Mus musculus: one gene and its partners. The protein of the gene in region 2 interacts with the protein of the main gene of each other region in a pairwise test. Links are inferred from orthologs where the notes say so. Each region holds a gene or a part of one and is shown on either strand. Other genes may lie near its edges. The genes, in order: Krt20, Abi2, Etl4, Dtnb, Tle5, Ift20 and Trip6.

Region 1 (4,090 bases), on a different chromosome or scaffold from region 2:
ATACATACAAATGCATACAAACAACACACACACACACACACCCCCAAGACATATTTTTACCGTGGTTTAGAGAACCTACTTCAATCTGAAGTCCTCTGCAGCCAGCTTAGCATTGTCAATTCGCAGGACGCACTGGGCATTTTGTACTTGAGCATCCTTAACCTGGGAAATGTGAGAGGAAGGAAGAATGACATTTTTCCCTGGGCAGGCAGGAGTGTAAGATCATTTTATTGGTCCTCAGAGACAACTGTGATTAAATCACAAGTGATGCCCATTTCGCAAATGACCATGGAAGAGCAGTGACAGAGGTATTCATGTCATGATTTGGCCTAGTTCCTTCCTGATTGTACAAAATGAGAGCTGAAGCCACCCACATCACTGGGCCTCTGTGAGCGCCTTGTCTGTGGCGCTGCTCACACTGGAACATTGCTGTTATCCCTTCTCACTTGGTGAGCTCCAGCTTCCTCACCTCTCAGCTCAGACAACACTTTCAAGGCCCCTCCATGATATCTTCCAGTTATAGCAGCGAATGCGCCGCCGTGGCTGTTGCCCTGCACAGCATCCCTGCATCTACCTCTCTGAGTGATGGTTTCTGTGGTCTGTGCCTGTTTCCACTTAAAGCACTTGCTATCTGTAGGAGTTAGGCGCAGGACAGAAGGATGGATACATCCTGGATCTGTGTGCATCTCTCTCTGTGTGTACATGTTTATATGCACAGGTGTATGTATGTGGAGGTCAGAGGACAATCTTACATGCCATTCCTTAAGTGCTACCTTTGTGTGTGTGTGTGTGTGTGTGTGTGTGTGTGTGTGTGTGTGTGTATGGCAGGGTCTCTCATTGTCTTGGAACTCACCAAGTTGGCCAGGCTGGCTGACCAGCAAGTCCCAGGAATCTGCTTGTTTTCCCAATGCTGGGAGTACAAGCACACACAGTCATTCTACAGCTTTGCTTTGTAACCTGGGGACTGAAGTCAGGTTCTCATGTTTCAAGGCAAACACCGTATTAAGAAGTAGATTAGAAGTCTACTTCTAGAAGATTTTAGACATATCCCTTTCAGCGGCTATTCCTGGAGAGAGGTCCCTAACCACTGGTCACTAATGGCTGTGCCTAAGTACTATGGGTAATCCCCAAGTCAATTCAAAAGCGTCAACCATGAGAGAAGTGCTTAATTTGAATTTTGTGTTGTATCGAGAAGCCTGAAGGACCGTCCTGTTGATGAGAAGGGCAATGTAAGCACCACACAGCTTCATGGGCTATGAAGTCTGAATTAAGCTGCATTGATGCCTGTAATTCAAACAGAACTCAAGACAAGAGGCCTGTGGTTAAGACAAAGGTCTTTGCTCTAAAGGCCTTTGCAATCATTTCGAGATTTAAACAAAACCCAAGGGGAGGCTTTTCCTGATGAGATAAGAACCCCGGGGCTGGGCAAATGGTGTGTGCCGATGCTTGAGGTCCTCAGTCAGGAGCGAAGTCTCCCACTTTTATTCCATTGGCTTTATAGAAAGGGGAACCCCACCTACCATGGATGACACAGGAACAGATTGTGATATGACTGTAATAAACTTAAATTGGGGGCAATAGAACATTTTATTATCACAGAGGTGCATTATAAAATGCTTGGTGATAGTGAGGAGATAATTAAATAAGACACTAAAAAATCCAGGTATCAGAACCGTGTATGGTGGCACAGTTCTTTAACCCCAGTGCTGAGGCAGTGGAGGCAGGAGGATGGTGAGGTCCAGACTAGCCTGGGATACACAGATCTTGTATCAAAGAGCAGTTCATCCATCCATCCATCCATCCATCCATCCATCCATCCATCCCCTATCACACAACTATTTATCAATCAGTATACATATCATTAATATCTGTAATCTGTATCCACCCTGAACCCTTTTGTTATTTATACCCATAGTAGGTTAATATATTTGTTATAACATTCATATAATGAAAGATGAAAAATCTCTTTAAATCAACTTGAGTCTTCAAAGTTAGTAAAGACTACTGGCAAACTCACATATAGAAACCATTGGAGGTCTTTGAAAAATAAGATTATCCACAATGAAGACCTTATATTGTAAGCCATAACAAAGATTTGAACTGCAATTTTGGATGATAAAATGATCATATTTTATATATAATTAGTTGAAGTTTTAGAAAAAATGTGAGTTAGACTCATCCTGTTTACAGATACCACATGATAAAATACATTTTTTTTTCAATTATACATTTCAACCTAATCTGCTTCATGTGTTCGAATTCACCTAGCATACATCTCTCAATCCATTAGGCAACTAAACAGTGAGGTAGAAATTACAGGCTTCATGGCTCACCTGATTTTGCAGCTCTTTAATCTGTGCGTAGTAGGAGCTATAGTCTCGGATGGTGCTCGGCGCGTTGGTTTCGTACCACTGCTTGATCTGGGCTTCAAGTCTGGAATTGGATTGCTCCAGGGAGCGCACTTTTTCTAGGTAGTTTGCCAATCTGTCGTTCAGGTTCTGCATTGCCAGTTTCCCATTGCCCCCAAACAGGTCCGATCCGTTGGAGAGATCACCCCCGTAGCTCATTACGGCTTTGGAGACAGAGATGCGAGTGCCATGGCCTCCAGCCCCACCATAGACGCTGGGTGCAGCCCCCAGACGCTGCACAGTCCCCTTCCTATACAGCGAGCCACTCATGCTGAGTGCTGGGCCTTGTGAGGAGGAACTCAGACTTCGGTGAAAACTTTGACGACTGAAATCCATCTGGGATGTAGGGAGGCAACGCCTGTAGCCTGGACTTGGAGCACAGCCTGTCTGTCTCGGGCTGCTGTGGAGATGACCTTTTATAGAGTTCAAGAGACTCCTCCTCTGCTGCCGTGTCACCTCAGGAATGACACAGTCCACCTTCCTGTCTCCCCTTCCCCCTCTTTTGTACGGCAATACGTTTCATTCCATTCCAGAAATTTCTACCAGAGGCACTTTTTAAAGGCTTTCCTGTGGGGGTGGTGGGAGTGGAGGTTTCTTTTTAATAAACAGAGATAACAAAAAGGACGAGGAAGGGGTGTCCTTTCAGGTCTTGCACCTGCCCTGGCAGGTTTTTTTTTTTTCATCCTGTATACAAATAAAGAATATTTACAATCTATATGAATAATTCAGGCATCGAACAAGACAGCTGTGGGAACATAATATAAGTCACACTGGTGAGAAAAGACAATGGCTTGTTCAAATGATTTTCTTTTAAAAAATGTTTTATGCTTCTTTAAATTTTTTTTTTACTTTTAAGTTTATCCTTGTTTAGAATTTATATTTACAGTCTATTGAAATGTCTTGAGTGAAGCTGGGTGTGTGGGTGTGCACCTGAGATTCTAGCACCCGGGAGTCAGAGGTGGGGGGGATCAGGACTAGTTTGAGGCCAGCCTGGTTGAAGTAAGGTGTTCCAGTCTAGCCCAGTGTTGTGTAACAAGACACTGTCTCAAAGTGCAGCTCCCCCCACCCCCGTTTAAGAATTGAATACGGTCAGTAGGTGAATATGTAAATGATTATCGGTGGGCGGTGGGTCAGTTGATTTTGGAGTTTTTTAAAAAAAGATATTTTAAATAGCATTTTTGGATAATTTCATCCATGCACATGTAGCGTATCTTGATAAACTCCTCTCCCACTCGCCTCTCCAGCTGCCTCCGAAGCGCCTAACACAACCCCACCCAAACTTCATACCTCTTTTTATCTTTTTCTTTTTAAAAATAACCAACTGGATCTAATTAGTGCTGCCTGTATGCTTGTGGGTGTGCGGCCTTGGACTGGGTGTGTGAGCAGCCTGTCAGAGGTCATAGATCCTCTGCCTGGCTCCCAGCAGCCTGCAACTGCCAGGAACATCTAGGTTAGCAAGGGGACCTTATTTAAAAAAAAAAACAAAAACAAAAACAAACTTGTTATAAGAATCTTGCAAATATTTTTAAATCTAGTGCTTCTTAAAAAAGAAACAGCAACATTAAATTACTGCGAAACTCCTGCTTTTAATAACTGGCATATTGCATATATTGCATACTGCTTCCTCTGTCTGAGGCCAGCTAGACACCACCAGGGGATTCTTTTTGCTTCTATCTTCCTAA
Region 2 (3,500 bases):
TGGAATGATTTGTCAGAGGACCTCACACAGGCTTAATTACCTCTTAGCCAAAATTAAAAATTAAACAGTACGTTAACATAATATATTCATGTAGTTGATACGTCTAAATTTTCTCTTGCATTCTCCAAGGAAGGAACAAAATACTATTATTTGTAGCATTAAATGTGCAAGGGTAGCTTTTCTATAATATATGATTCAATTCTTTATTTAATTTTTGTGAATCGATTTCTCCAAAGCCCACCACAGTATTGGATTTAATAACTATGTTAAGACAGTTTGACTGCCTAATGCAAAACACCTTTCTATACACCTACTTGTGTAATTCATAGAGCAATGATGTCTCATTAAACAAAAATACTATTCTTATATACACTCCACTTGAGTCAGGCTCTCATTCTGCAGCCTAGACTGGCTTCTCTCCTTGCCTCTGCCCCATGAATGTAGCTGGTCATCCTAGAACTCATTGTATACACTAAGCTGGCCTCAAAGTCAAAGATCCACCTGCCTCTGCCTCCCAAGTGCTGGAAAGATGTGCACCAGCATTGCCCCAATTCAGTACTAGTTTTTAAAAGCAAATTACTAGGCACACAGAAAACTATTCCAATGGAGGAAGAGCAGGATGAGCTCTTTAGCTTTACATAAAAATCATGTATTGACTTTTTAAAGTAAAAATACAGTAGTATTAAAAACTTAGTATTCATCCATCCTTCTATTCATTCAACAATAGTCTAAACTACCAAATGTGTCTAGGATAAACACCTATCATGTATGGGCTAATTATGTGTAACAAAAAGGTTTTGTTTTTTATGGTGCAATATAAAAGAGATGAAAAGAAATTGATAAAGAGAAATCTAACCTGGATTCTGGTTATAAAAAGGACCTCCATTCATCTGATTCTGAAGGCTTGTTTGTGACGTTATGGAAGGAGGACGTCTATAGGGCAACGAGCCCCCTATTGTAGGTGGTGTATGGCGAGAGGCAGGCCTGTTCATGCTGTAGAACTGAACAGGATGACCTGGAAAATGAACAGAACACAAACGCATCATTAAAGGAAACTCATCTCAAATAATGAAATTTTCTAAGTATATCATTCACTTTCTAGTAAGATTATTAAAAACCACAGTATCTATCCAAATTAATGAAAGATGACAGCTGATACTGTATTAAAGCATAAAGGTAAGAAAATTAAAATATTGCATTTGGAAAACTAACATCTAAATCAAAAGCTAACATTTTGACTTTCTTTTAATTGACTATTTTTTTAAAAGCACAATTAATTAAAATGTACAGACAGAATGTGTCCCAACACCAAGTCTCCAGTATAGCTAACTATTCTCACCCCAAGGGTCACACATCAGACAGCCTACGTATCAGATACCTATCTACATTATATTTCTCTTTTTTTCTTTTCTTTTTTGGTTTTGTGAGACAAGGTTTTCTCTGAGTTATCTTCCTTTTCTGGAACTCAGTCTGTAGACCAGGCTGGCCTCAAACTCACAGAGATCCATCTGCCTCTGCCCACCCCAATCCCCAAGTGTGGGGACTAAAGGCATGCACCACCACTGCCCAGCTACATTACAACTCATAACAGTTTTAAAATTACAGTTATGAAGTAGTAATGAAGTAATTTTACGTTTGGAGTCATGACAACTTGAGGAGCTGTATTAAAGGGTCACAGCCTTAGGAAGGCTGGGAAGCGTTGCCCTAGCACACCAGTGTTAAAAGACCACAGCTGTAAACAGTTATCAGGTCATAAGGGTTCTGTTCTCATGAGTAAGTAATACCATTATCAAAAGTGGATTTTCTCCTTTTTTATTCTATGTACAAAGTCTCTCACCAGATTAAGGAACCTTGATACTAGATATTCTGCCTCCAGAACTAATATAGTCAGACTAATATAATTTATAAATAATCTAGTCTACAGTATTGTTATAGGACACAAGAGATTAATTTCCCCCTCCTGTCCAAAAAATAATTATTTAAAGCAGCCATTAAACATTGGAGACTAAACGAAGAATTAAATTCTGGGGGAAAAAAACAAAAACAAAACAAAAAAATGTTTGATACAGCCATATTCTAAAATAGGTGGTGATAACAAAAAACACTGTTTAAAAGGAAACAAAATAGTTCAACAAAACATTTGATGCTTTAACGCCAAGTCAAACCCATCTTTATACAATTCAATATACTCATCTTCTTATAGCCAGATTGTGTCATAAAATAGTTTATGAAATCTGAATCAAAAATGATCATCACCCCAGAAACCTATCCATTTATAACTCATTTCAACCTATCTTACCTCTTCAGAGTTATACACTGCTAACATCAACCGGAAACATTCTTTCCTAATCCACCCAGTTTCCATCTATAACTCAAATCCGACCTTGCCTTTACCCTCACTTGGTGCCCACTCAGTCAGGGGCCCTCTTATATCAGGAAAAGGCCACCCATGAAAGAACACCAGCAAGCAACAGGGCATGCAAGGAAGGGAATGACAGGAAGACAGGAAGAGGAGGAGAAGCTATACCATGAGGGGAAGAGGAAAAAGGGGAAATAAAAAGGAGAAAGGGCAAAAGACAACAGGGAGAAAAGCATTGCCTAAGATCTTCAAAAAAGAAAACTATGAATTTTATAAAGTTGGATCCACTCTAAATTCTCATCAATATTAAGTCTATCAAGCACAGCCAAGTACCTATTATTATGTTATCATTTAACTGCTAAAATTAACTCTTAGTTAGGGGCCATTTATTATTTCTGGGCATTTGCAAGATTTCTCTTTTTAACTAGTTGGACTAGTGTAACAGAGTTGTATATCTCAACCAAATGACTGTCCATATTTTTACTCATCCATTACAGAAAAATCTTCATAAGGATTATTATAGAAGCTATCTAAATAGAATACCATTCAAAATCCAATTAGGACAAAGACATCTTTTAAAACATGTTTTATTAGTAGCCAGGTAGTAGTGGTACACACCTTTAATCCCAATAATTGGGAGGTAGAGGCAGGTGTGTCTCTGTAAATTTGAGGCCAGGCTGATCTACAGAATAAGTTCCAGGACAGCCAGGGCTACACAGAAAAACCCTGTCTCAAAAAAAGGATACATTTACTAACCAGCATCATATTAACAGTTAAATTTATTTTCCTATCCCAGCAAAATGTATTTGAGGTTAAAATCTTTTCTAAAATGATTGATTACATTTATTTATAAGGAGGGCACATTCATACAACAGAGAGTGTGCATGTGCGTGTGCGTGTGCGTGTGTAGATTAGAGGACAACTTATACAACCCTGGCTGTCTGGCTAGGCAGCAAGCCCTTTACCTGCTAAGCCATCTCCTTAGCACTAGGTTGAAATCTTAAATAAAACATCAGTCAACTTAAATAATCTTAAAGTCCTTTGAAGTATAATTTATGAGTTTATTATAAACATAGTTTGTAATTTGCTATATAAAATATTGCATTAAAATATATTTTTCAGGGGCTGGAGAGATGGCTCA
Region 3 (4,059 bases), on a different chromosome or scaffold from region 2:
GGAGTTATAGATGGTTACGAGCTGCCAAATGGGTTCTGGAAATCAAACTTGGGTCCTGTGGATTAGTAGCCAGTGCTTTTAACCACTGAGGTATCTCTCTAGCCCACTTAACATGGTTTCTTTATCATACAATTTAGGACACTTTCCAATGGAAAATGTGCCTGTGATATGAAGCAGGTCTATAAGCCACATCATGCTTACGTGATACAGTGCAATGAGGAGCAAGGCATATTGGACTTGGGATCATCTAGTTGAGCCTGAACCATCGTTATATTTCTGTGACACTCTCAAGTTCAGAAAGCAAGAGTTCCATCAGCTTCCATAATGCCAGACACTGCAACAGAAGCCAGAAGCACTAACCACAGGCTAAATGGTAGTCAGATATTCTCTGTTCCAGAGCTCTGTTCAAATGCTCAGCTTTCCACTGAACAACTGCATGACCTTGAAGCAAGCACGACATCAGCCATGCAGAGCCTGTTCTCTAATGGGTAGGTAACAAAACGTTCCCCTTTGGCACAACTATGAGGATTAAAGATGTCACATAACTGTTAGGCATGAGGCACACATGGATGGGACAGAGAACAGCTCTCACTTTGTGCATTGTGATTATCTATAATACTGAAAACCAAAACACACTTTTTTGCCTCCAAACCCTAGCAAACTAAGTTCAAAGTGTGTTTTTCAAATATATTATCTAGTTGGGGATTAAAAAAAAAATCTCTGGATATGTTCTGCTCTGCTTATCAAAGGCTGCCTCTAGTGCTTTCCCAACGGTGTATAAATTACACAGGCCACTCTTCCCCCTCCAGACCAACCCAAACCACATTCCATGTGGTAATGGGTCAATTTCTTTACTTTTTTCGCCCTTCTACCACATTCCACACCCAAAAAGATGCCAGTTTTCAGTTCCTTTGAAAGTGAATTCTCATCTGTATTTTTTTTTAAAAAGCCCTTTAAAGTAGTTGTAAATTCTTTGAGAGCCCTCCAACCCCAACCATCAGCAAGTAGTCACCAGAGAGAATTACTGCTGCTTTCGCCAGAATCCTCCCACAGAGAATGGAGGCTTTGTAGTGAGCAGCACATCCAGCCATGGTTGACTCTTTGATCTTTGATACTTTGGACAACTCTAAAGAGAAAGGCATTCCAGCCCCAACCACACACAGAGAGGGACACAGGTTATTTATTGAAGCCCCCTGACTCTGAGCTTAGCCTGGCTCTCTAAAGACTCACATACACACATCACTCTGACTAGCCAAATTGCTCCTGTCCCTTGCAGTTGTATCTAATAGGAAGGGAGTGGGAGGTGGTGTGGGAATGTCTGCTCTTTGGCTTCTCCCTGGGGTGAGAAAGGTAGCTTGGCAGAGGCAGTCACAACAATATTTATAAAGACAGTAGAAAATAGAGTCCATATGTGTACAAAGGGAAATCAGAGTAAATCACTAGGGTGAAGAACCCTCTCGATTCCATTTCTGAGGTCTGGCAGCTTCTGGAAGAGTGAACAGAGCCAGTCACTCTAGGCTTCAGTACATAGAGCCCCTTATTCACATGTGGCCTTTTTCTGATCAAGTCCGACAGCCCTGAAACTTCCCAGATGACTCAAAGCAGACTCTAGCTCTCTCAACTCAGACACTGTTTTGTAAGCCTGGTCACCCCAGGAACTTCGTGTATCAGAGCTGATACTGACCTGGAAACTATAAGTTCTTGCTTCTGAAGTTGCTGAAGGACAGCTTAGTAGCTTCCTATCAATGACTCCTAAAACTTCATATCCAGGACCTGCCTTCTGTCTGGTGTGCTGGCTCTGTGATGTGTCTGACTTTCGGACTGGGTTTCAATATGAAATTCCCACACAGTTCATATTGTTGGACTCCTGGCTCTGAGCTGATGGTACTGTTTTGGGAGGTTTGGGAAACTTTGGGGGTAGAGCCTGGCTCTTTCCTATTTTCCCCTGCTTCTTGTTCATTGGGAAGTGAACAGGTGTCTTCTGTCATATATCCTGATGCCATGTTGCTCTGTACAAGGTGAAGCTACGTGACCAGGGAATAAACCCCATGAAACTGTGAGCCCAAATAAACCCCTCTGCCTTTAAGTTGTTCTCTCAGGGATTTGGGGCACCACTATGCAGAAAGTATTTAGGATAAACCAAGAACTAAGTTAAATAAGAATGCCACCATGGTAAGAACTGTTCTCTTTGTGACCTTTCTCTGGGTCCAATGATATTAAACTGATGGATTTGTGGTGAAAGCTCAGGCTGAATGAATCTGGCTAACTTCACTAGGTCATTTTTGGTCTAAAGATGCAAGGCCGTTCATGCAGACCAATTTGGACAAAGAAAGCATGCATGGTCTTTGAGTATTTTCTTATTCTATAGAGGTTATGATGGCTTCTAGCCAGAGTCTGAACAGAAAGATAGGCATATCAATGTCAAATAACATAATACCCATCCTGAAAATTTGTACATATGCTCATGCTATCCTCTACAAGATCAATAAATAACAGGTAAAGCAATATTCAGCTGCATCTCAGGAGTATGTGTAAGAAAGCATCATGGTTTGACTGAGACATTTTAGTCCCTGAGCTCAGGGAAGAGTTACAGAAGCCACACTCTACAAATATTGCTTTGCCTAATAATTCATTCACTCATCTCATGATTCAGTAAAAAGTCAGAACTCACCTAAGAAGACAACAGGGTGGAGGACAGAGTGACATATAAGTAGTATAATCCTTTGAGGGCGACTTTCAGGGGTCCTGGGCTGCAGTTCCACCTTTGTCTCTGGAGTATGGTATGGTCAGTTACAAACTTAGGATCCCAGTATTTCCATCTGTAAAATACAAACAAGACTGTAAGTCTTCACTCAGTAACTGCTTAGTGAATAATTAGAGTCTCAGACTGATTGAAAAAGTGCTGGTATGTGGAACGGGATATACTGGAATCATATGCATGGCTATTCAAGCTCAGTGCTCTTAACTGGTAGTTTTCCATCTTTTGTTTTTTAACCAAAACATGAGCTGGATAGCACAAGGCAAGGTAAACACACTGCACACTAAACTAGACCAACCTTTAAAATACCAGCAGGTTTCTATGGTCAAGGGCAAGAGGACATGAGGAAAGGCTGATTGGGAATCAGAATGACACAGAGAAGCTGAGTCCCCTGTGACTTAATGCCATGCACTGTCCTCAGAGAGCACAGCATACAGAAAAACTGTATTCTATGACCCAGAGAGCACAGCACTCAGAGAGACTGCATTCTCTGACTAAGCTAGTCATATAATCCCAGGCTAAGTGGGAAATGATGTGAGCTTGTGGACAAATTCAGAGGGTGGATCATCACAAAGAATTCTGCCTAAATAAAATTGTCCAGCCTCAAACATTTTAAAATTATTGCAGAGGATGGCAAGCAAATCTATGTAGGGAATATCTAGGGTCATTGGGAAGCCCCTGAAAACTAAAGCTGACATTCCATTCTTCCTCTACCATCAGTGACCTCCATGTGACTAGGAGCTAGGGTGATTTTGCTGATGGCAGTGAACCTGGTACACACAGAATAGACCAACTGTTGAGATGAGCAGTGCTTTCTCCATGGGTACTTGTTGCTATAAATCCCTCTTGGGGTCCAGAAAAACACATTTCAAGTGGAAAGAAATAGTGGACGACCATAAGAAAGACCTCCTTGACCAAAATTGGAAAACACTTTTGGGGCTTGACTCAAACTTCCAGAATATGGGCTAGCTCATGGAACTCAAGTTAGTTATTGTACTGAGTTCAATTAACTATTATTTAAAACATTAAATTTGTATTTAATTATTTATTAAAAGCATGGCTTTGGAGTCAAAATGGTCGTCTATATACTATGTATAGTCTAGGAGAGATGAATGTCCCAGGTGTCAGGAAGCCTGAGGTGTGTGACTCTGAGACATTGAACCCAGAGATTTAGTTAGCTTCATTATCAATAAAATATAGCACAGAGCAATGAACAAACCATCAGCTTTGTCAGTCTGTGCTCAAGCTTCTACTGCTGTTTCTACAACCACTTCATTTTGAGGTTGTATGCATACTCTTTT
Region 4 (4,010 bases), on a different chromosome or scaffold from region 2:
TCTCCAGCCCTCCAATTCTTATTCTTTTCTCTTTCAGATTAAAAGAAGTGCCAGAGAAAATAAACTTTTTTTTTTTTTGTCTTTTGAGGGTTTTTCCGTGTAGCTCTGGCTGTCCTGGAACTCACTTTGTAGACCAGGCTGGCCTCGAACACAGAAATTCACCTGCCTCTGCCTCCCTAGTACTGGGATTAAAGGCTTGTGCCACCACTGCCCTAGATATCTTCTTGTAACAAATCTAAAAGCATTCTCTGGGTTCCATTAAAAACCATTCAGAGCCAGGCAGTGGTGGCACTGTGAAGTAATGAACTCGCTTCTGCCTCCCAGGGGCTGAGATGGAAAGACATGCGCCGCCACACCCACAATATGTACCATTTTATAAACACCCAGCTCAACATGCAAAATCTACCCATCTCATCCTATGTAAACTACACATCAAGACAGCACAGTAGTGCACACCTGTAATTCCAGGGCACATAGATAGGAGGATAGACAAGTTCAAAGTTAGTCAGAATGACACAGAGAGACCCTATCAAAAAAAAAAAAAAAAGGAAAAAGACAAAAGACGAAAGAAAAGGTTTGTTTTAATCAGGTATGGTGGTTCACAGAAGGGACTAATAGAAGGATAGCCATAAGTTCAAAGCCAGCTTACAACCTGGGCTACAGTATATCGAGTACCAAGCCAGCTGGAGCTATTCAGCAAGAGCCTATTTAAAAAAAAAAAAACCGGGGACAGAGGGTTTATTTTCAAATAAATGTAAATTAAATATCTAAATAAAATGTTAGAAGTGCCTGAAACAAGGCACCCTAAAACAAAACCTAATCGAAACTTAATGATTATACTCTGAAGTACAGAGTAATTAAAATAAAATAAATGAAGGCTTATTATACATGCAATGACAAGTCTGGATTAATATTGCTCTCATTTTTTATATGAGGAGTCAGTTATGTTAACATCCAAGACATGAAATAAATGATAAACGGAAATCCTCTGCACGCTAATACTTTAAGTAGAAATTCTGTCTCCTGGGCAAAATTCAGTGAACATAAAGACTCTGCCAGCACCACCTTGACTGCACAACCCCTTCAGAGGTAGCTCCACTTAAGTCTGCTAAAAATCCTCAGAGAACACATAAAAGGTCAAGTTTTACTTTGGCAAGCAAAGTAATCCAACAGGCACTGCAAGCGAGGGAAAGGAAGCAGCAGCCTGGGACTGGAGAGTCCAGGCAAGGTGGAGGACAGAAGTCCAGCCCTTACAGAACTAAAGAGACAGAAAGAAGCATTCTCTCCCTTCAGAACCAAGATCCGAGAGGCAGGACAGAAATTATAAAGTGTTCTCTAAGCAAAAGCACCCTCCCATCCTCCTCAAACGACCAGAAAAAAGCCAAAGAGAGAAAAGACCAGAGCACCACCCAGAGATTAAGCTCCTGGTGCACAACATGCAAGAACCACGTGGATGAAGAAGAGTGGCCACAGGCCACCGGAGTCTGCCACCTAAGCCACTGTTTTAACCTACCAGTGCCTGGGTTACCTGAAGAGGCAAAAAGAGAATCCGAGGACCAAAGGAAGTCCAGCGATCATCCCTAACTCTACAGAGACTGACACTCAAGCCCCTGCTTCCTCCATCCATTCTGCAGTGGGCATCCACTGTAGGGCTGCTGGGATCCAGGCCACATCCGGAGGACTGAACAGAAAACAGGCACGGAGCTTAATTCTAGCTGGGAAGGCAAGATTCTTCTTCCAGATTTCTTCTCCCCCTCCCCACCCCTCTTTTAAATGTCAGTAAGATCCTTCAAATCTCTTCTCAATAGTTCCCACCAGCTTTCCTCAACTATCTTACTTTCTCCACAAACCAAGCAACTTACGGCTCCAGTTTCCCAGGGCTGGGAAAATCCTAAAGGGACCTGAAGTGAACAGAACAGGAAACATGAAATAGAGCACTTTACATTTTGTGTGCATACTTTCACAGCCGAACTGTCAGCACTTCAACAGCAAAAGATGGCTGAGAGTGATAAAGTCGTGACCCAGGCGCTGACCGCGGTTCTCTCCTGCTCCGTAGCTAATCAATAAACGCTTGCAGAGAATGCTGGAAGGTCTCCCTGATTCCCTAAGGCCTGGCACAGAAATTTAACAGCAAGCATTCGTCAGCTGCATCCTCCCTCTTCTCCGGACACTGTGCCCAACAGGGGTGACCTGGGTGGACAGGTTCGTCTACCGGGAGCCTCGGGGGACACTGAGAGGTGATCTGGAATGAATTCCCTTCCCTCTGCCAGGGCCTGCCTACCTCACCTGCCCTCTGCCAGGACCTGCCGCCTTCGCCCCCTTCAGCACCTAACGCGGAGCCTCCTCCCCGCCAGCCGGGCTCAGGATGCATCAGCAGCGCGCGCAGCCCGGCTCTGCGCTCCGCGGGCCCCCGCGCGCGCGGGTGACCGGAGAGCCCTCCCCGGCCCGGCGTGCTGTCTCCCAAGGGTCGCCGCTCCAGGGCCGCGCACTCCGCCACCCCGCAGCCCTCCTTCTCGCTCCTCCAGCCCCGGCGGACTCCCCACCTGGCTCGCTTCCCGGCCGGAGCTGAGGGGCCGTCGCGTGGCTCTCCGGCGGCCGCAGCCTCCTCCAACCCGGCCCCCTCGGCTGAGGCGGCTGAAGCAGCAAGCAGCGACTGAGGCGGCGGCGCCCACTCAGGCCCCGGAGCCGCCCCCGCGGCGAACGGAACGGCGCCGGCTCGCGCCGCTTCCCCGCCCGGCACGCGCAGCGAGCCCGCCCCCGGCGCGAGGGCGCGAGGGCGCGAGGGCGAGGGCGGGTGCGCGCGGAGGGCGGGCGCGCGGAGGGGCGGGGCTTCCGCCGCGAGAGGGGGCGGGGAGGCGGCCGAGTGCCCTCCCGCGGGTTCGCGCGCCCCCTCCGGGCCTCTGCTGTGCGCCGGCCGCGGAGGTGGAGGTGGACTTGCCCTTCCACTCCACAGGTAGCTGCCGGGCGGCTGCGTGCTGCGCCGACGTGACTGCACCTTAAGGAATGCGAAGAAACACCCGGTGAATCATTGCCTCGAGCGCGGGTCCTCCCCCGAGTGACTTTCCACATTGCCTCAGCAGGCTCGCTGAGCCCTGACTCCGCGCCTGGTGCCCGATGGACACGATCCGGGTCACGGCCCCTGGTCCCCAAGAATGCATAACTTAGGGAGAAGAGCAGCCTTGCGAAGGACCGAGTCTGGTCCCCTGCGCAAAGCCAAGCCACAGCCGGATGCGGTGAGAGGATGAAGGAGAGACATTACTTTCCGCTTAGTTGTTCAGTAGTTCCTAAAAGTGGGACTATTTAGACATTAAACAGCTTGAGCAACGGAGCAGGGGCGACAAAGCTTCATTTATTTATCTAGCATCTATTTATTTATTTATTCATTACCAACTCTTTTTTTTTTTTTTTTGGTTTTGGTTTTTCGAGACAGGGTTTCTCTGTGTAGCCCTGACTGTCCTGGAACTCACTTTGTAGACCAGGCTGGCCTCGAACTCAGAAATCCGCCTGACTCTGCCTCCCTAGTGCTGGGATTAAAGGCGTGCGCCACTACCCCCCCCCCCCCCCCCCGCTTCATATCATTTTTTTAAAGGACTTTATTTTATGTGTATGAGTGTTTGGGCTGCAATGTGTGTGCACCCTGTGAGTGCCACCCCGAGGCCAGAAGAGTGTGAAATGACACCTGGATGCTGGGGAATCAAACCCAGGTCCTCTGATAACATAGCAAGTGCTCTTAACTACTTAGCTATCTCTCCAGCCCCTCATATTGCCATTTTTTATAGAAGCTTTTCCAAACTCTCTAGGGACATCAAAGTCTTCTTTTAATGGCTCAAAAGATAAATGTTTTCCCTCAACTTTAAGACAGCGGCATGATCCATTAGACTTTTGGTGCGTGTGGATGTGCACATGTTAAGGAAAGCAGCAGTAGGCCTGTGTGCTTTAGGGATGCTTTTTGAAGCCTTCTGGCACCTTATGGAAAGGCAGATCATGCCACCTGCTTCAATCAGACTGGC
Region 5 (2,214 bases), on a different chromosome or scaffold from region 2:
ACAGATCCCTGCAAGGCGTCCTCAAACAGGACACAGACATGATAAACCAGCAAACAGAAAAACAAAACAGAAAACAAAGCAGATAAAGAAAACAGGTGGCACACAAGACTAATCCCTGGCCTTGGAAAACAGAGGCTGGAAAATTTCTGTGAGTTTGAGGAATGAGTCCAGGGCATTCAGGGCTATACAGAGAAAACCCTGTTTCAGAAAAACAAGAAAGGAAAAGGTCCCCAAACCGAGGCGCATGCCCAGGGGACAGCCTAGCTTGGGAGGGGTACAGGGAGCATCCAGGCCATCTCCCAGAAGGTAACCAAGGGACCCATGTGGGTACCACAGCCACCCTGCCAAAACAGTGTGAAATCTGAGCACTGAGTTGCACTGTCTGGGCCCAGGTCCCCAGCTCACCCTCTCTGGGTCTTTGGTTGCTCCAGGGATGTCTTATTGCAGGACACGGGGTGCCCTGAGGAAAGGGGTCCCCACCCACAAGACAGAAGCAGGGACACAGTGGCCAACCTTTTCATGTTTTTATTTTGAAGGCACAGCTAGACCCCATCCTCAGTACAGCGGCTTGGCCTTTGACCTCTGGACAGAGACCAAGGCGACCAACAAAGCTAACCCTATGACAGACACTCCTGGGGCTTCCTTCTTTTCCTTTCTGAGATGATAGCTATAGAATACTGGCACAAGAAAGAAATCATAAACAAACCAACTTTTAACCCTCACGTTTATTTGGGGAAGAGGGGAGGGAAGTTTGTGGGGTGCCCACCCCCACTGCAGTCCCGAGCCAATGCTTTCTCTCTGTCCCCTTCTTTTGTGGTTGAGGGAACCGGAGCTGGGGGAGCTGGGGGGAGGGGTCTGGGACTAGCAGGTGTGCAGTGCAGGAAGCAGAGAAGGGGATAGGGGCAGATTCGGGGTGCACAGGGTGGAAAGGGGCAGCTAGCGTTGTGTACATTCTGGGCCGAGATTGGTGGCTGTGGCCCAGGGAAATGTTGAAGGTGGGGAAGAACCCTTAGCCTGGGGTGTCCCTCTGGCGTCCCCTAGGCCCAGGGTGCACAGCCAGAACCAGGACTGGAGGTGTAAGCTTGGGTAGTGACAGAGCTGTGTGCTGTGTGGCCCTTAGAACACTGCGCTCTCTGTGCCTGTCTCCCCTGGTCTCCCCCCTCCCCCTTCCCCAAGAGCTAATCCGACTTCTCTCCGTCATCCTCCTGGTGGGTGTCCCCATCGTGTCCGTTCTTGTCCTCCTTGGAGAGGTGGGTCTGAGAACCCAGAGCAGAGAGTGACAGCAGGCCTGTGCCTGCACTGACTGCAGGGAGGGACGGTGGCTGGAGCCCGACAGGCAGCGGTGTCAGGGGCAGGGCCAGCGCCTGCAGCTGGGACAGCTGGTGAGCCTGGAGCTGCTGCTGTGGGGTGGGGGTGGGGGTGACAGAGTCAGCCCAGGGTCTTGTCACCTGACCCTGGCCACCCAGGTCAAGTCAGTCCCCAGTCCACCAGAGGCTCCGACTTACTCGGATGATGGAGTTCAGCTCAGGAGCCGTGACCTGCTTGGCTCTCTCGATGGCTCCCAGGACCTGCTGCTGATGCTGGAATAGGCAAGGGAGGGGACAGAGTTCTCTCAGGCAAAGCTGGAAAGGGACTGAGGGGCGGGGGCGGGGGAATGGCGACTCCTGTGCAGTAGGCAACCAGTGCAAAAGCGCAAGAGAAGTCCTGTCCTAGGGGCTCAGGGGCTGCTGGGGTGGGAGACTAGGAATCCAACTTCACAGGAATTTCCTTAGAGCTGGGGGGGGGCTCCCATCGCCTGTGCCCGCCCACCCAGGGAGCTCTTTCTGCCTTGCCACAGGGGTCTGAGTGCAGCTGCTCCACGTCTCACCTTTGCTAAGCTCAGAAAGGGCAGGTGCGTGCCCAGGGAGTGCTCAGCAAGGTGCGGAGGGGACCCCACTGCCCCCTGCTGGTGGCTTGCTTACCTCCTGTGACAAATAGGGCAGAACCTGGGCGCAAATCCCATTCAGCCTCTTCACAATTTCCGCCTGGAACACACGATTTTCCCTCAGTACCTGGGGCACTTGGAGGGGTGGGAGGGGGTAACGGGAGTGGCCTTAACGCTCAGTCTGGGAATCACAGGGCATTGAGGACATGGAGGAGGACAGTGAGACTTACCTGTTTGTGCATCTCGATGTTCAATCCGTAGGACATCTCATAGTACTGTGAGGTGGAGAG
Region 6 (3,969 bases), on a different chromosome or scaffold from region 2:
TTGCTTGGCACTAAATGTGGGACTCCATGGCAGTGTAAGAGGGCAAGCAGAGAAGGTTGGGTACACATGGGAACCCAGAGACCAGGCTCAATCCAGAGAGCACGCAACTTCATTCTGGTAGACCCAAGAACAATGGCCAAGGTCAGGTAAGGAAACTGCTCAAAGCAGAACAACACTGTGTCTCCAGATGGTACTCACTGTCCACAAAGTCCTTGCACTCCTCCTTGAGCTCCACAGTCTGCTGGGTGACCTCTGGGTCCAACACTCGGAGCTTGTTCAGTTCATCAAAATGCAGCCCTGCCTCGCCCAAGATGTCCTTGGCCATAGCTGCAGAGAAACCAGCAGCGACCTGAATTTCATCCCAGACACCACCCCAGCCCTCCTCATACACCCATCCCTCTGCCTCCAGCTCTCAGCCTCACCTGTTTCCCTTCCAGGAAGCCCTAGAGGTCTGCTTTGAAGGGGTGACAGTGGCAATCAGGAGGTATGTCATAGGAGCAAGGGTCAGGAAAGAGGAAAGTCCAGTTGCTTGTCACAGACATCGTTCATTCAACATACATTTCTTGAGTGCCTACTACATGCCGACACTGCTAGATGCTGGGCGTAAAGATGAATGCAACATGGTGCCTGCCCTGGAGCAGCACAGCTTAGCTGGAGGAAAACAGACACGTGAACCTGAAGGATTATATTGCATCAAGTGATTTTTACAGAAATATCACTAAGCAAGGAGAAAAGACAATTTCAGTTCACTTGGGTGTATCTGGCCTAAGCTGCGAGCGAGATAAAAGCATAGTCATAAATCCCTGTTTAAGGTCCCAAAAAGGCTTTTCAAATGCATGCCCTGAAATGAAAAACAAAACAAAACAAAAAGGATGAATTTTAAAATGAGAGTTAAAAGCTAGCTATGGTCATGCGTGACTCTAATTCTAGCAACTCACTGTGTTGCTAGAAGACTGACACACGTTTAGGACCAACCTGGGCTGCATACTGAGTTCCAGGCTATCCTGTGCTACACAAGCCCTTGTCTCAAAAAAACAAAAAACAAAAAAACAATTGCCTTCCTGTGTTGTTCTAGTTGGATAGTTTGAGTATTTAAGAGCTCCTAGGGACTAACTGGACCAGGTCCTATGGAAGAGTTCATATGACATGAGACTGCAAACACTTGTTTGAACTCCTACTGCCTTCTGAGTTAACATGCATTTATCAAAAACAAAAACCCTTATTGAATCCCAGCTCCAAGGACAGAGTGAACATAGTGTCTCTAGACAGACAGTAAGCAAATAAACACAAACTGTGATCAGGGTATGAGGAACAGCGCTCAGTGCTCTGTCAGGATTCTACAGGAGGACATAACTCAAGTAGGCAGAGAGGTCAACAAAAGCCTTCAGAAAAAACAATCTGGGACCTAAACACGTCCAGAAAATCTTCTAAGAGAAGGGAGAGGGACATTGTGGGCATAGGGAAAAGCATATGGGGGCGTCCTAAGGCTGGAAGATTTTGACACAAAGGGTCCTGGGATCAAAACAGCAAGAGGGAGCAAGGCTGGCAACCGGCTATAGCTGGATGAGTAAATGAACTTGGGTTTTGTTTTGTTTGTCGAGACAGGGTTTCTCTGTGTAGCCCTGGCTGTCCTGGAACTCACTTTTGTAGACCAGGCTGGCCTCGAACTCAGAAATCCACCTGCCTCTGCCTCCCAAGTGCTGGGATTAAAGGCATGCGCCACCACACCCAGCTGAACTTGGATTATTTTTTATAATGATAACCGCTAGCAGTGGATTTCGGCAGTGCTTATTGATCAGAGTTGGAAAGATCACTCACTGCCTTGGCCAAACAGAGGGAACAGGGAAGAGCAGAATAGAGGCGTCCTTTCCAAATTTCTCACTGTGAGCCAAGCATCTCTAAGCAGGCTGCCTGCAGGTAAGTGGCACTCTGATAATGTTTGCAGAATGAATGAATTCATGTGGAAACAGAAGGCTGTAACAGAAGAAAAGATTTGAAGCCGAACGGGAGTTCAGAGATCAGATGATGTCTGAATTGACAGAATTTAGTAATGCTTAATGCAGCACTTTGGAGAAAAGTGAAGAAAGGAGCCAAACACGATTGCCATGGATCTGGATTGGACCGAGAGTATGGCTGGAAAGGACAGTTTAAAGAGATGGGTAAGATAGATATGGTACATAGCGGGCTATCAGATCCCCAGCCCACCCCTAACTCCCACCACAAATATGCTCCAGGAACGTGGGATTGAGTTTCCTAAGCATGAAGGCTGTGCCTGGCTCTACGCTCCCTGGCTCTCCCAGGTCCGCAGGCACAACAAATAGTTGTAGCTGTGGAGTTTGGAGAAGGCGTAGACACAGGAAGAACTGGGCAAATGGCGCGGCTGTCTTTACTAAATTATACTCCTGCAATGTCCGAACCTCGGTTCACCGGTGACATCGAGGGAGCCAGGCTGAGCTGAGTGTAAACCCGATCCCTAAAAACTCCGAGGTAGGGAAACCGCCGCTTTCCACCCGGTCCAGCCAATCCTCGGCGCTGGGTCACGTCGGCCTCCTCCCGTCCCAAGTCCTCCACGTCCCCGACCTACCTGACGAGCCGCCTCGGCAGCGCTCTGCGGCCCTGACGACTGTCGGTAGAAGCTTCTCTCCGGCAACTGCAACCGGCTGCTGCCACGGAGACAAGATCTAGGAGCCACACGTCACCCCCGAGTCCAGAAGCACCAGCATCCGCCCACCCTGCGGTGCTTGCTGGGAAATAGATGCAACACGCGATAACTGCCCACTAGGCCCAGAAGCCTTTGCTCAGGGGGCGGGGACTACGACACGGGAAGTAGATTTGTTCCCGAACCCGGAAGTAGAAGGAAGTCAAACGTCAAGTTTTCGACCCACTGCTAGCTCGCGCGCTGTGCATGCCGGGTCTTGTAGTCTCTTTCCCGATCTGTAGGGTTGGGCTGTAACTCCGGAGTCGGCGGGCGCAGGATGTGAGCTCACAGCCGAGATTGCAGGCAGCCGCAGGCCAGAGGTGGCACCGAGTCCGCTTGCTACTTGACTGAGACTCGGAGAGGCGTCCCCGCGGACGGTGAGAGCCAGAGGTGCGGGTGCAGAGGGGAAGGACAGGCTCTGCTGAGTCCTGGGCAAAAGGCACGGGATGGCGCGCGGGGATGAAGTTCAGGTCTTTTCTGGGGATGGGAGGCACCACGGATCTCAGTTTTTCAGAAGAGGAGGGGTGTGGCGGGAGAGCAGCCTACACTGCAACGAGAGACATGGGATGTTTCTCCATTTCCACTGGAGAGCCTTTGGGTGAAACATAAGAGCCGCTTCCACGATTTCTGACCTTTCTTGCCAAAATCAGCCTTCCCACCTCGCCGTACCTCGTGTCCTTCCTTTAGAACCCCAAGTCTTTGAACTACCGTGATCGTTTGCGCTTTGTTCTGCTTGGCTTCGCATTAGGTTCCCATAGAGACACGTGTATGTTCCCCAGCCCCAGGATTACCCCTCTATCCACAGGCGAAGTCCTGAGGAAAGAGCCCTGAAACTATCAGTGGAAACTTCATCCTCTCAGAAATTTCTTTCTAGGGCGTCACCTGCCATTGGACTCTTGGACCTAATTGGTCTGGGTGGAATCTGGTCTGACGTCATCTAGGACTCAAAGTAGCTCTTAGGAGGAAAAGAATAGATTAGCTCCGGATTTGACTTCCTCAGTTGGCAAGCCTAGTCACTTGGGTTTCTTTGATTTGGCAGAACGTGTTTATGTGCTTCCTTGATTCTGGGGAAATGGGACTGCACACAAAGTATGTGAGGAACTTGCTAAAACTTGTTGAGGAGTTGATTTTTTTCCCGCTTTGAGGTAAGGCGGTCAGTCGCTCACCAGTCTAGCATTGTAGTGTTACTGTCAGACTCCCGGAGCTCGTTTCCTCCATGTTCCATCACTGAAAGCAATTAAGCCATCAAAAGGATATGCTACTTAATATAG
Region 7 (2,043 bases), on a different chromosome or scaffold from region 2:
ATGCACCGAGCAGGTCAGCATCGTAAGTAAACATAGGATCCGAGATGATGCCTCCCTCTGGAGAATGGCATGGAAAATTGAAATCGATGAGCACACCAGGTATATTTGTTCCTTCTGGAGCAAGACCAAGATGAAGAAAACAGGCCACTGGCATCTGGCACTGTGGTGGCTGGTGCAGCCCAGATCTGCGACACCACTTCTGCTGTTGTATCTGGCATCAGAAGTCTGAAGGACTTGAAAGACCAGCAGAAATCCAATCATCTGAGACATCCCTAGCCTACAGTAAACAGGTTAATTTATGTAACAACAACAATAGTACAGGATGAGAGTTAATAAAAGATATGCAGGATCTCATTATGTAGCCCCTCACTGTCCTGGAACTTAGTATGTAAACTAGGCTGGGCTCAAACTCACACTCTGCCTCCGCCTCCTGAGTGCTGGAGTTCAAGCTTTCACCAGCCTCATCCTGTGAGACTCCAATAAAGAACAGACTTGGAAGTGCTTTTAAATGCTCCAGGGATTATTATTTCATGAAGAGAGGAAGAAAAGACAGCATTTGATGGCAAACACTAAGGGTAGATGTTGGGGGAAGTGACGGACGGACGGACGGGGGCTGAGATCCCAGCAGGTACTTCTCAGAGCAGTCAACAATCAGTGGTGACAGTGGCTGAGAGCTCTTGGATACGCCAGGCGCTGCAAGCCTTGCACAAGATGTGCCCATCCAGCGGGTAGCAGCCTTGACACTCTCCCTCAGAGGACAGCAGCAGCCCACACTCCTGTGAGAAAGAACAAAACCTTCATTAGCCTGGGACTTTCCCACAGTGCTTTTCCCCCAGCTTCCCGGGCTCTGCAAAGCTCTCGCTCCTGCCCAGGGACCCCCCCTCACCTCACACTTGTAACAGCCGATGTGGAAACTTCGATCCAGAGCAACAATTCTCACCGTCTCCTCCTGACCTGGTTCCGGCATGATGGCCCCACCACACACTGAGCATCGTGGGGCAAATTTCCTGCAGTGGAGGGGAACCAAAGAGGCTATCAGGTCCCTCCCTCCCACACCATCAGGAGACTCAAAATGAAGCCCAATGAAGGTGGAAGGGGCAGGGGTGGGGATGAGAAGGATATAAGAGATGTGTCTGGGTCTTGGGGAAGAAAGTGGTGTCAAAGAAAGAGAGCACCAGAAGGTGGAAACAGAAGAGGCAGACCCTGGGACATGAAGAAATAGGTCAGTGAAGACATGCTGAATCCAGGCAAGACCTGTGGAAATCTTCAATGCAGTGGATCTGGCTGGTGGCGTCCACTGTGAACGGGATGCCATCAAGACCACGGTGGCATACCACACAGGTGAAGCAACCAGGGTGGTACGCCTTCCCCATAGCCCTCAGGATTCGGTCCAGGATGGGTTCAGAGCATGTGGAACATTTCTCCAGGGTGGCCTAACGAAAAAAGAGGAAGGAAGGTCAGTGGAGGGAAGCCACTCCAGCCAGGAAGGAGTACTCTCTGCCCAGCCATCTGGTGTGTGTAGTTCCCTGCATGGGATTCAGTGGAAGGTGGACTTAGCATTTCTGAGGTCTAAGAGCAGCACTGAAGCCTCTAGACAAGGGATTTGGTCTCCACACACTTCATCTTTCAGTGAGATGAATCAGTAATGCCTCTGAGGAATGCTGTCAGATTTTCACAAATAACCTCAACTCTAAAATGCCTTCCAGCTGGCACAGTGGCACATATCCGGTTTCCTAGCTCTTGGGAGGCTGAAGCAGGAGAACCATAACTTTAGGATCAGCCTGGGCTACACAGTAAGACTCCGTCTGGAAGGAAGGAAGGAAGGAAGGAAGGAAGGAAGGAAGGAAGGAAGGAAGGAAGGAAGGAAGGAAGGAAGGCAGGCAGGCAGGCAGGCAGGCAGGCAGGCAGGCAGGCAGGCACCCACCCGCTTGAAAGGAGGAGCTGTCTTTCCCTCCTTCATCTAGTCTCCACAGTTAACTCATTCCTTAGCCTGGGGCCATAGCTCAGTTGGTAAAGTGTTTGTCCAGCATGCACGAAGCCCTG

What was found.
Region 1: the proteins of Abi2 (region 2) and Krt20 interact in binary tests that used the Homo sapiens proteins (3 or more experiments, as listed by UniProt). The link is inferred for Mus musculus from reciprocal best matches to the Homo sapiens genes ABI2 and KRT20.
Region 3: the proteins of Abi2 (region 2) and Etl4 interact in binary tests that used the Homo sapiens proteins (3 or more experiments, as listed by UniProt). The link is inferred for Mus musculus from reciprocal best matches to the Homo sapiens genes ABI2 and KIAA1217.
Region 4: the proteins of Abi2 (region 2) and Dtnb interact in binary tests that used the Homo sapiens proteins (3 or more experiments, as listed by UniProt). The link is inferred for Mus musculus from reciprocal best matches to the Homo sapiens genes ABI2 and DTNB.
Region 5: the proteins of Abi2 (region 2) and Tle5 interact in binary tests that used the Homo sapiens proteins (3 or more experiments, as listed by UniProt). The link is inferred for Mus musculus from reciprocal best matches to the Homo sapiens genes ABI2 and TLE5.
Region 6: the proteins of Abi2 (region 2) and Ift20 interact in binary tests that used the Homo sapiens proteins (3 or more experiments, as listed by UniProt). The link is inferred for Mus musculus from reciprocal best matches to the Homo sapiens genes ABI2 and IFT20.
Region 7: the proteins of Abi2 (region 2) and Trip6 interact in binary tests that used the Homo sapiens proteins (3 or more experiments, as listed by UniProt). The link is inferred for Mus musculus from reciprocal best matches to the Homo sapiens genes ABI2 and TRIP6.

The regions. Positions count from the first base shown.
Region 1 is NC_000077.6:99,435,354-99,439,443, forward strand, and holds the start of Krt20 (keratin, type I cytoskeletal 20), read right to left. Parts: upstream 2,801-4,090; 5' UTR 2,745-2,800; coding exon 2,334-2,744; intron 163-2,333; coding exon 80-162; intron 1-79. UniProt on the Homo sapiens protein: Plays a significant role in maintaining keratin filament organization in intestinal epithelia. When phosphorylated, plays a role in the secretion of mucin in the small intestine.
Region 2 is NC_000067.6:60,451,119-60,454,618, reverse strand, and holds part of Abi2 (abl interactor 2), read right to left. Parts: intron 1,016-3,500; coding exon 857-1,015; intron 1-856. UniProt on the Homo sapiens protein: Regulator of actin cytoskeleton dynamics underlying cell motility and adhesion. Functions as a component of the WAVE complex, which activates actin nucleating machinery Arp2/3 to drive lamellipodia formation.
Region 3 is NC_000068.7:20,288,654-20,292,712, reverse strand, and holds the start of Etl4 (sickle tail protein), read right to left. Parts: upstream 2,801-4,059; 5' UTR 2,707-2,800; coding exon 2,672-2,706; intron 1-2,671. UniProt on the Homo sapiens protein: Required for normal development of intervertebral disks.
Region 4 is NC_000078.6:3,571,181-3,575,190, reverse strand, and holds the start of Dtnb (dystrobrevin beta), read right to left. Parts: upstream 2,801-4,010; 5' UTR 2,544-2,800; exon of another isoform or gene 2,282-2,543; intron 2,208-2,281; exon of another isoform or gene 1,959-2,207; intron 1-1,958.
Region 5 is NC_000076.6:81,564,658-81,566,871, reverse strand, and holds the end of Tle5 (TLE family member 5), read right to left. Parts: intron 2,200-2,214; coding exon 2,155-2,199; intron 2,060-2,154; exon of another isoform or gene 2,025-2,059; coding exon 1,962-2,024; intron 1,581-1,961; coding exon 1,506-1,580; intron 1,401-1,505; coding exon 1,179-1,400; 3' UTR 501-1,178; downstream 1-500. UniProt on the Homo sapiens protein: Transcriptional corepressor. Acts as a dominant repressor towards other family members. Inhibits NF-kappa-B-regulated gene expression. May be required for the initiation and maintenance of the differentiated state.
Region 6 is NC_000077.6:78,535,192-78,539,160, reverse strand, and holds the start of Ift20 (intraflagellar transport protein 20 homolog), read right to left. Parts: upstream 2,801-3,969; 5' UTR 2,585-2,800; intron 652-2,584; 5' UTR 423-651; intron 328-422; 5' UTR 326-327; coding exon 199-325; intron 1-198. UniProt on the Homo sapiens protein: Part of intraflagellar transport (IFT) particles involved in ciliary process assembly. May play a role in the trafficking of ciliary membrane proteins from the Golgi complex to the cilium.
Region 7 is NC_000071.6:137,309,399-137,311,441, forward strand, and holds the end of Trip6 (thyroid receptor-interacting protein 6), read right to left. Parts: intron 1,434-2,043; coding exon 1,255-1,433; exon of another isoform or gene 1,203-1,254; intron 1,008-1,202; coding exon 887-1,007; intron 777-886; coding exon 645-776; 3' UTR 501-644; downstream 1-500. UniProt on the Homo sapiens protein: Relays signals from the cell surface to the nucleus to weaken adherens junction and promote actin cytoskeleton reorganization and cell invasiveness. Involved in lysophosphatidic acid-induced cell adhesion and migration.